Linked DNA regions of Arabidopsis thaliana. The protein of the gene in region 1 interacts with the protein of each later gene in a pairwise test. Each region holds a gene or a part of one and is shown in the gene's direction. Other genes may lie near its edges. The genes, in order: AT5G01160, NAC063 and LBD27.

Region 1 (3,756 bases):
AAGAGAAAAACAAGGTTGTTTTGGCTGAAGCTTGTAGGGATTTTGTTGATGTACTCTTCAGCCTTCTGACACTTCCAATGGGAACCATTGTCAGATTGCTTGAGAATCATCGAAAATCTGAGCCAGTAACTCTGGGCTGTTTTAACAATCTCTATAGAAGTGTTGTGGACATGGGCAGTGATTGTTTTGAGACTGAAGCTTGTAAGCAGATGCTTGTGTATCCGAAGAGTGTGAAAGACCTCCAGTGCAAAAGGCTTAAGCTCAACATAAACCCTACTGAGGACATCAAGTGTTTTAAGTGCTCAAGTTACTGCGGCTTGTACAGTAATTTCAGCACCTCTAAATGTCGTTGCGGAAAATTTATGAACGAGGAGATTCAGTTAGAAAACGAGGAACAAGATTTAGGCCGGTTTCAAGATGATGATAATGGAGTATTTGTCAGCGGTAGGTGTTCATTCGTCTTAACCGATGACTTGGAAGTGTCAGTCAAGTCCACTGAACTTGTCTTGAATAAGCTCAAATCCTTAGGTTGTGCTGATGTTGGTAAGCTCGGTGAAAGGCTTCTTGATATTGGTGTGAAAGAGGTATGTTAGTTAGTTTATTCTTCAAGCGTTTGTGTTATCATTACTTTATTAGTTCTCTCTTACTATATCTGAATCTTGGACTAGGTACTGACTCTGCTGGGATGTATATTCTCCTCAAATGCTCCCTTAAAGGACATTTTCTTGAACAAGAAGATTACACAAGGTGCGACGAAGTTTTACAAATCGCAAAGTCCATGTTTGGAGAAAAAAGAAGATGAAGCAGAACCTGAAAAGGTAGTAACTTTGAAAGCATTTGTGAGGAAGCAGGACATGAAGATTTTATTTGTTGAATGCGGAGAGGAATTTGTTGAGCTTCTTTTCTCTTTTATTGCTGTCCCGCTTGAATCTGCATGGGAAATCTCTGGCAGCAGTATCTCCTTAGGTTGCATAGGAAACATGTGTAGAACCTTCAGGGACTTAAATGAGGAGACTCAAATGTCAACTTCCACATGCGCACTTCCGTCTTTCTATAATTTCCAGATGCAACTGCCTGGTATTATCACTCAACAACCTCCGGTGTACTACCGTTACAGGCTCTACGATTACAGGCAAATGAACTATGGTTTGACTACAAACGGTAATCGAACTACTTATTACCGCAAAGACAGAATCGTTCGGGTGGATTTGAAGGATCCCAAATCCCGTGGCAGCGATAAGTCTGCTCAGGGGTTCTTGAAGAAAGCGACAAAGTGTACTGTATTAGATGATCTGACCATTACATCTATGAACTCCTGCTCCACAGTTTGTTTACTAAAGAAGTTGCAGAGTCACGCAGACGATCTAGAGGTGCAAGTAATTAGTATCAGCAATGCAGAGGTATGTTTCTGTATACCCTTTTTGATCCTGTATTCTTGAAAGGAACTTGACTGACACTTGATTTTGAATTAGGCTTTGGATTTGTTGAGAGCTTCCTTGGTGACATCCTCTGCTTTGAGCACGACATTATGGAATTTGATTGCTAAGAAACTGAAGGAGGAGACTGATTTATGGGACACGGTTTCAAAGAAAGTGAAGGAAGAGACTTGAAGAAATAGAAAGCTAGTGAGAATGAACTCTAAGTCGATTGTTGATTATGTTTTTAGAATTCCGCAAAATCTACATTACATTCCTCATGTTTTCTTCCAAGCCTTATCTTTCTTTGTAAGACTAATCAAATTATTGTTTTATGGAAATTCATCTTAATAGGGTTTTTTAAATGCAGGCAAAAACTTGCACATCTTTTTGAGTTTATAAAGCAACAAGCCTAAAATCTGGAATTTCCTAGTACGATAAGACTGAAATATACAACCATTACCAAAAAAAATGCATCCATATACAAAAGTTTATAATAAGATCCAGTTGGTATATAGTAATTGGGAATGTTGAAGACATATGAAGTGTTGATCAGAAAAAAATAAGACTTGAAGTTAATTAATGGAAACCCTCTTTCTCAGCCAGAAGACTTGAAGGCTTCTATTCTCCTCCGTTGCCCACAAAAACAAAATTTGCTTCGCCGTTTTCGGCTCCGGCGTGATTCTTGAGAAGAACTGAAGTAGAGAGAGAGATCTGAAATCTCAATCTCCGATTTAACTTGGTAACTAGAGAAGCTTTTGATTCCTATTCTTTCTTTTGATTTGTATTTCTTAGGGTTCCGTTCATGTAACTTTTACAGCGACAATGCTTCAAATTCGTCTTCGGAGGGATTCCCCGACGGAAACTGGAAATGGTGCGAGGCCTTCTCCGACGGAGACGGTTACTGTAGCCTGTCCCGACCATCTCGTCCTCGCCGATCTTCCTGTTGCGAAAGGAATCGGTTCCGTGACTCCCACCACCGTAATCAAGCCCGTCGGTCGTCGTTCTCGCCGTCAGCTAGGCGAGAGAGTTCACTTCTGCGTTCGTTGCGATTTTCCGATTGCAATCTATGGTCGTCTGGTAAAAAACTTCGCTTCCTTCATTGGTTTATGGCTATATTGATTTGCCTTAAAGAGTTTTTTTAAGGGGGCTCTTCTTCTATATGTGATTGAAACTTTTTTTGTTTTGTTTTGGTTTTGCAGATTCCTTGTGATCATGCCTTTTGCCTTGAATGTGCTCGCAGTGATTCCATCTGCTATCTGTAACCATCTTTAACTCTCATCGAATTTCATTAGAAGCTTTGATAGAGATACTTTAGATTGTTTGGTAATCTACAGAGACGCAGGATTATCATAGTTTGAACTAGGCTTCGAATTTCATTAGAAGCTTTGATAGAGATATTCTAGATTGTTTAGTAATCTACAGAGACATTTTAAGATTTACTAGGCGTAGCGATTATCAGACTGAAATCTTGTTGTCTCTTGTGTGTGTGATTACTGCACAGATGTGATGAGCGGATTCAGAAGATTCAAACAATCAAGATGATGGAAGGGATCTTCATCTGTGCAGCTCCTCATTGTCTTAGGTCTTTCCTGAAGAAACTTGACTTTGAAGCCCATGTCCATGACCTCCATGGAAGCCTATTACAAGCCGATGCAGAGAAAGAAGATGGTAACCAGTCAGATGTTCAGAGCACAATGCAGCAGTCTTCAGCTTCAGAATCCACCTTGCGAGCTCCTTTAAGATCCCAGCTGCAACAATCCCGTGAACTAAACAGGTCGGCGTCATTTGCAAAGTCACAGTCTGGATTTAGTCAAGTCCAGAATTACCCTCCAGATAGCGATAACTCTCGCCCTCCTGGATTCGAAACCGCTAGTCCTAAACCAGGAATCCGGTTCCCAGACTACCCCCAGCCTATGAATCTTATGCAACCGCCCAGCTTGCCCGTTCCAATGAATCAAAACCCGGGTTTACCACAGCAGTTTGGTTTTCCTTCGTATCCAACAACAGAGAGTGGATCATCTCAACAATTCTTTAACGGTGCTCAGTACGAGATGACAAGAACAGAGAGCGGCGGATCAGAACAAAGTTCATTGCTCGGGTATCCCCCGCCTTCACCAATGACGAATCTGAATTTCCAAGGATCGTATCCTCCTCCATCATGGAATCCCGGAATGGCACCGCCTCACACGACCCAGCAGGTTAACCGGGGTAGAGACGGTCAAAGTTTTGGGTGGCCACAAGAGAACCGTGATGGCTTTGGGCAGGAGTAAGAGTAGTCTAGTTTGAATTTGTGCAATGTTAAACTCGTCGTTTGAAAGTTTCAAGTACTTTTGTTTCT
Region 2 (3,756 bases), on another chromosome or scaffold:
AAAAGCAGAGTCTGAAAAGTGGGTCTCTTGCATCAGAGTTCTTGATCCCAAGACAGCTACGACAACTTGTCTCCTGGAACTTCAGGACAACGAAGCTGCATACAGTGTCTGTACGGTGAATTTCCATGATAAAGAGTATGGTACACTGTTGGCTGTTGGTACGGTCAAAGGGATGCAGTTCTGGCCCAAGAAGAATCTAGTGGCTGGGTTCATACATATTTATAGGTTTGTGGAGGATGGGAAATCTCTTGAGCTTCTTCATAAGACGCAAGTAGAAGGTGTTCCTCTTGCTCTGTGCCAGTTCCAAGGAAGACTGCTGGCAGGGATCGGACCTGTCCTCAGATTGTATGATTTGGGGAAAAAGAGACTGCTTAGGAAATGTGAAAACAAGCTCTTTCCAAACACCATTATCTCTATCCAAACTTACCGTGACCGTATATACGTTGGTGACATTCAGGAGGTGAGTGGTAGATCCTTTTTCCTATATATTTTACTTACTACTGTGTGCTTTGTTTTATAGAAATATCTCATGTAGCCTTTTCATTATCGTTTTGCAGTCTTTCCATTACTGCAAGTACAGGCGCGACGAGAATCAGCTGTACATATTTGCGGATGACTGCGTGCCGAGGTGGCTGACAGCATCGCACCATGTGGATTTCGATACCATGGCAGGTGCAGATAAGTTTGGGAATGTGTATTTTGTGCGGTTGCCTCAGGATCTGTCGGAGGAGATAGAAGAAGACCCGACTGGCGGGAAGATCAAGTGGGAGCAAGGAAAGCTGAATGGAGCACCGAACAAAGTGGATGAGATAGTACAGTTCCATGTTGGGGACGTTGTGACGTGCTTGCAGAAAGCTTCGATGATCCCAGGTGGATCGGAATCGATAATGTATGGAACAGTGATGGGTAGCATAGGGGCATTACATGCTTTCACATCCCGTGATGATGTGGATTTCTTCTCTCATCTGGAGATGCACATGAGGCAGGAGTATCCTCCTCTCTGCGGGAGAGACCACATGGCTTACAGATCTGCATATTTTCCGGTCAAGGTAATAAACCAAAACCCATTTGCTTTTCCTCCAAATCAAAAGAAGTCCCTTGATTTTGAATTTGACACTTTTTGCATCTTGTAACAGGACGTGATAGATGGAGATCTGTGTGAGCAGTTCCCGACACTCCCAATGGACTTGCAGAGGAAAATAGCAGACGAGCTGGATAGAACACCTGCGGAGATTCTGAAGAAGCTCGAAGACGCAAGGAACAAGATCATTTGATAACACACGAAAAGAGAGAGAGAGAGTCATTGTTTTGTTGAAGGACAAAGTAGAGAGTAGAGAAGAAAGAGGTTATAATAGATTTTGTAAAGCTCTTCAATGGTTTGTTAAACAAAACCCCGCTCTTGTGAAAACTGATGAATTAATTGCAAGTTTACTTTTGAATCTACAACAGCATGAAACAGTTGCACCGGTAAGGTTTCTTCCATATTCAGGATTCCTAGTAGCTATGGTAGTTCTTGATTCGTTCATGAGAAGCATTGAGAATTGTGAAGCAGCAGACAAGTGGGAGCCTCGCCTGTCTCAACAAAAGATCAGGAACTGCAGACGAAGAGATCTGAGTTAATTCAGAGGCTCTTAACACCAGCCATTCTCGTTGAGAGCAAAAACAAAGATTGAGGATGCAGGTGAGCTAAATGAATCTTCTGCAACATCAGACTTAAAAAGTACCTGGTAAGATACAAAAACAAAGAATTATTTCACATTTTCTGTAATCAACATTTATCTCTTTGTTAACTTTGTTAGCTAAACATGAAACTTTTCCTTTTCCAAATCTCAATCACAAATTGATTTTCAACAAATCCGATATTATCTGAATCCCATATTATCTCAAATTCGATAAATTTTATAAATCATTATATACACCGTCTTATTACATTCTTATAAATAAGAGACAATATAACTAACTAAACTAACTATATCTCTTACGAAACATACTTTTCTTTTTGTCAAAGCTCCAAAGTTACTTGATGACGATGCCTGGAAGAAACAAGCGCAAAGAAAGATCCTGGCCGGAACCGCAAACGCAACCACAGTCAGAGATTCCTTCTTGTCTTCTTTGGCAGCTGTTAACATGTCTCCTCCGTCGACGATAGCTTACGTATTACCGCCAGGTTTTAAGTTTGTGCCAAACGATGAAGAAGTCATCCATTGTTACTTGAAACCTTACTCGGACGGCAACACGAACGTATTGCTCCATGTTCCTATTCATCTCGTCAATATCTACGAGTCGAATCCACAAACACTTTCAGGTTAACTTGTCTCCGTCCATATGTATTGTTTACTTAGTTGAATTCTTTAGTTTATTAAGTTATTAACATATATCTATATATATATATTTTTGAAACAGAGGAATTCCAGAAGGGTAACGATAAAGAATGGTTTATTATAACGGAGAGGAACAAAGTTGATCAAGGTTTAAGCCAAACAAAGAGAGTTGGTTATGGTGCGAAAAGGCAGAAACGTGTCGACACTAACGGAGGATATTGGCACGCAACAGTGGCTGCCCAAAAGATCAACGCTGGAGATGGTGTCGTTCGCAACAAAAGGCCACTGGCATACTACGTTGGGAAACCATCAGAAGGCGTCAAAACTGATTGGTTAATGCAAGAATACTCTCTTGATCACTCTTCTCACAACAACGACAAGGTAAGAAGTGTTTCTTGGTTCCCAAGTTATTTAGGTTTTCAAGTTTTGGATTCTGTTTTGAGTCTTGTTTTTGTTGTGCGTCTAGGATTACACTTTGTGCAAGATCTATCTTACTCCACAAGCAACAAAGATGAATAAAGAAGTGGGAGAAGAGAAGAAGAAGCAGAAGAAAGGAGAAGCCGTTGTTTCAGTTGCACCTGTGGAAGCATTGGAAGAGCAGCTGCCTTGTAATGTCGAGTATCATCAACCGCTAGCACCGCTAGATTCTTGCCAACCGCAGCCTCATGATTTGGCGTATCAACAGCAGCAGTTTTGTCCAGGCCCACTGGATTCTTATCAACCGCAGCCTCATGATATGGAGAATCAGCAACCGCATAATGAGAAGCTGAAGAAAGAAGAAGACGTTGAGCAGCTGGATTTGCATCAACCAGACCAAGGAAAAGGATGCTAATTGATCTCTTTCCTCTATCGGCAATGTTCTCCAAAACCAGAGATAATTCTCCCTGTCTTTATTGCTTTTGATGCCTTGATATAAAACATTTATACTCAATTTGTCCAACATTTTCTTAGCGTCTTAGACTTATAAACTAACACATACAGATATAGATATAAAACACCGGTGTATTCCAGTTTCAGATTACCCAAATATAAAAAATTTGTGTTTTGATTTGTGGGTGGGTTAAAGATTTTCGTTATATAATACATTAGATCTTAAAACCAACAAATAAGTTTCTTCAAAGCCTAACTAAATATACTCTAAACAAAGTTGTAGATTTAAAGGTAAATTTGGACTTTGTTACATCAGTTTTCACAAGAGCGGGGTTTTGTTTAACAAACCATTGAAGAGCTTTACAAAATCTATTATAACCTCTTTCTTCTCTACTCTCTACTTTGTCCTTCAACAAAACATTTAGCTCACCTGCATCCTCAATCTTTGTTTTTGCTCTCAACGAGAATGGCTGGTGTTAAGAGCCTCTGAATTAACTCAGATCTCTTCGTCTGCAGTTCCTGATCTTTTGTTGAGACAGGCGAGGCTCCCACTTGTCTGCTGCTT
Region 3 (3,756 bases), on another chromosome or scaffold:
CTTCTTTCTCTTTTTTTCACTTTTTTCTCATTTTTTTAAAAAACATTACTATAGTTTTCATATATATATATATATATTAAATTTAGTTTTATGGATATAAATAATAGGTAAATATCTACTTTATGACATATATATAACTTACATTGTTTATATATATATATTAAATTGATATTTGTGAATTCTATTATATAACACATAAGTACAATTTACCAATAATATTTTTTTGTTTAAATATACAGACAACCATGATCTTATTTCTACAACCAATTTCTTCAAGTAATAATATTAAATTAATAAAATCTACAGCCTAATTTCTACAGCAATAAAATCTATGGCTACAGTCATCACACATACAACAAAAATTCTACAGCAAAAATCTACAGTTACAGATGAACCAATCACACACTTAATGACTTTAAAAATATATTGAAAGTAGATAAATTAAAGATTTTCAATGATTACTAGAGAGTTTTGCATAATTTCTATGATTAGTTTTTCCAAAATCTTTTTAGGGGTTGTTATTGTTTGTGATTTATATGGATTTTTAGTGACTTGAAATGTCATGAAATTTTTTTTGTTATTCAATTAAAATTTTATAAGACTCTGTTAAAGTTTGGTGTTGTTAGATTTTGATTTGTAAAAAGTAACTTAAAGTCTTTGTAAATCTGGAGTTATTTGATTCATATTTTAATACAGTCATTACAAATTTTGTGTTATTCAACTTAAACAGTTTTCATGATTGTTAATGATTTAAAATATTGTGTTATTGGATTATGATTTTATACTCTTTTCTTCACAAATTAAAATCATGAAAAGTATCACAAAAAGAGAGAGATTGTGAATCATGACTTTGGATATAAACAAAAGCCAATGATACGAACAGATGCAGAAATCTTATTAACAGTGATGACAATATATATATTCTAATGGCTCAAGTTCCACATGTGCTCCGGTAATCTATGTGAAAATCAACACACAAACAACTTTTAGAACAAAGCAGTTTAATCTAACACATGAAAAGTAAATATCCAACAAAATATTTGAAAATAAAACTTCAAGTTCTTCATGGATGGTTCCCTGTTCATGTAACTTTACTTACGAATACCATAGTTTTTGTGTTTATGCGTGTGATTTTCACTTTAGTGGAGATACCTTCTATAGAAGATGGAAGAATAGTATACAATATTTTGGTGATATGTTATAATTTTGGAGAAATCACAAATCAAAGTTTATAATTATATTCAGGGAGATTTTACAAGATTATAAAAAGAGTTTTAATGACTTTAAAAATATATTGAAAGTAGATAAATTAAAGATTTTAAATGATTACTAGAGAGTTTTGTATAATTTCTATGATTAGTTTTTCCAAAATTTTGTAAAGTCTTCTTATCCAGGGAGATTTTACAAGATTTTCAATAATCTTGTAATTTTCAATAAAATCAATTCAATATAACTTTAGATGTTTAGTAGTTCAATTAAGATAAGACTGAACATAATAATTATTTTGTTACTCAATCCAATTTAAAACCTAAATAACTTGGTCCCAAAATTGTTTATATCAAGATGATCAAGTACAAAATTCAAAAAAACTTGATCAAGTCCAAAACTCAAAAAATAAACAAGTAAGATATATTTACTGTTATATCAAGTAAAAACAAAGCAACTATTATTAGTAAACAAAAACAAACTCAAAAACAAGAATCTCCCCTGAAGATACTCAAACAACGTTTTTTTTAATCAATCTTATAATCTGTATTTTACTTAGTCTTCTTTACTAGAGAAATATCCGGCTTATATACCAGACTACTTCTCCTTCTTCCCTTCTCTCATTTCCCAAAAACCATTAACACACAGACACACTAACGCACACATCTCTCATTTTCAAAATCCTCATTTTCATTTCTCAATTCTCCAGAGTCTCTTGTTCTGTTCCCATCGAATGAGCAATACAAAACACATCCACAAAGGGTTACAGGAGAGGCTTTTAGATCTTCTCTTGATCGCTCTTATAGTTTACATGACTCTTAAAGGCGGCACGAGTGGGGCTTGTGCCGCGTGCAAGTACCAACGTAGACGCTGCGCCGCGGACTGCCCCCTCGCGCCTTACTTCCCAGCCGAACAACCGAAACTTTTCCAAAACGTTCACAGGCTATTCGGCGTAAGAAGTATCGTCAAGATCCTCGAAAAACTAGACGAAACTCAGAAACCAGAAGCAATGAAATCAATCATCTTCCAGTCTTATGTCCGTGACCGTTCTCCTGTCCACGGTTGCCTCGGCGTCACGCAACAACTTCAATACATGATCTGGTTTGCTGAAGAAGAACTCAAAGCTGTCAATTCTCAATTACAACTATATCGCTCTCAACCACAAAACGGTCAAAATCAAAACCAAAACCATAATCATAATCAGATGATTCATGAGCTTGGTAGTGATCATAATAAGCAGCAAGAAGATGTTACATCGCAGCAGCTTGACTTGGGTATGGGACTTAACGTTAACAATAATCAGAGCAATGTCGTTACACCATTCTTTAGTTCATTATTACCAGTTTCCGAAACACAACAGCCACAAATGTCTTACACTTATAGCTGCAGTGAGGTTAACAACAATGGCTATAGTCCTCCTGCTTATAATACAGATTCGGGCAAGGAGATTCTGACCAACAATAACAATGTTTGGGGTGATCAGAATCGATTTCTGTATAACAACAACAATGGAGGAGGATACAGCAACCAAAACGAGAGCTGTCATGAGATGAAGAGTAACGGTGTAATGGCAATACAATCACAGCTCGTAAATCTGCAAATGGTATCAAATCATCAGCGAGTGGAAGAAGAAGAAGCTGATCATGAATACGATGAACTCCATCAGTTTCTTGATATCATTGACGATAGGCAATCATTTGGGGATTCTAAAGAAGCGTAGGCCTCAAGGTAGGGGTTTTTTCCTTTGTAAAACTATGAAATATGTATTTTCTTCTTCTTCTGTAGATATGGTGATTGAATTGGAGTATATTGGTGGTTGTAGCTCTGGTGGATCGTTGAAGGAACAGATTGATGAAATTGGAGAGAATGAATTGAGAAGTGCAGCTACTTGTTTCAGTCTAACCAGTGTGAATAATTGAATTGATTTCTCAATTCGTGATCCCTAATTATGCTCTCGAAATTTTGTTATACTTTTGTTGACATTTTATTATTATCTTTTAGTCAGAGACTTAAAGGTTATGAATTCAGAGTTTCTCTAATTTTAATAATATATCTTTTTGGAGTCTCTAATGAACTTGAATATTAGTGCAACGTAACTCTATTTGCTTTATTTTTCTTGGGTTTTTAACTTGTTATTCAAGGGACGCTTCTCTGCTAAAATCTAACATGGCTGAGTGAAGAAGAGAGACACAAGACAAATGTTAATGATGCATTAGCTCCCGAGGATACTCACATTACTCAGGTAATTATACTAGACTTCCACTTATTTATGAAACTCAAAAATGTAATGTTGATCTTGTGTTGAACCTTGAGGAAATAATCAAGAAACTGTGTGTGTTAGTAGGTTAGATGTTGGATCCCGAACTAATACCTAAAGTATCATGCTCCCTAGAAGCTGAAGCCATGTTCATAGGACTACACTAAGTTTTGGAAATATAGGCTACAAGCATGTGATTGTATTCCTCGAATCTGATTCCAAAGAGATGGTTAGAGCAGCCCTACGAATGGCTTCAGCCTTCAGCTTAAAATTGTGTCACATTCAGTTGGTTG

The links.
Region 2: the proteins of AT5G01160 (region 1) and NAC063 interact in a two-hybrid assay, tested with the Arabidopsis thaliana proteins (one large-scale study listed by BioGRID).
Region 3: the proteins of AT5G01160 (region 1) and LBD27 interact in a two-hybrid assay, tested with the Arabidopsis thaliana proteins (one large-scale study listed by BioGRID).

Annotation. Positions count from the first base shown.
Region 1 is NC_003076.8:52,040-55,795, forward strand, and holds the start of AT5G01160 (RING/U-box superfamily protein), read left to right. Parts: upstream 1-1,816; 5' UTR 1,817-2,157; exon of another isoform or gene 2,158-2,235; 5' UTR 2,236-2,240; coding exon 2,241-2,495; intron 2,496-2,617; coding exon 2,618-2,676; intron 2,677-2,919; coding exon 2,920-3,688; 3' UTR 3,689-3,756. Other genes in the region: AT5G01150 (hypothetical protein (DUF674)), read left to right, coding at 1-584, 669-1,400, 1,473-1,610. UniProt on the Arabidopsis thaliana protein: Probable E3 ubiquitin-protein ligase which is a subunit of the N6-methyltransferase complex, a multiprotein complex that mediates N6-methyladenosine (m6A) methylation at the 5'-[AG]GAC-3' consensus sites of some mRNAs.
Region 2 is NC_003074.8:20,463,088-20,466,843, forward strand, and holds NAC063 (NAC domain containing protein 63), read left to right. Parts: upstream 1-2,007; 5' UTR 2,008-2,127; coding exon 2,128-2,305; intron 2,306-2,403; coding exon 2,404-2,702; intron 2,703-2,787; coding exon 2,788-3,153; 3' UTR 3,154-3,332; downstream 3,333-3,756. Other genes in the region: SAP130a (Cleavage and polyadenylation specificity factor (CPSF) A subunit protein), read left to right, coding at 1-460, 558-1,049, 1,137-1,274.
Region 3 is NC_003074.8:17,659,191-17,662,946, reverse strand, and holds LBD27 (LOB domain-containing protein 27), read left to right. Parts: upstream 1-1,592; 5' UTR 1,593-1,939; coding exon 1,940-2,926; 3' UTR 2,927-2,934; intron 2,935-3,028; 3' UTR 3,029-3,267; downstream 3,268-3,756.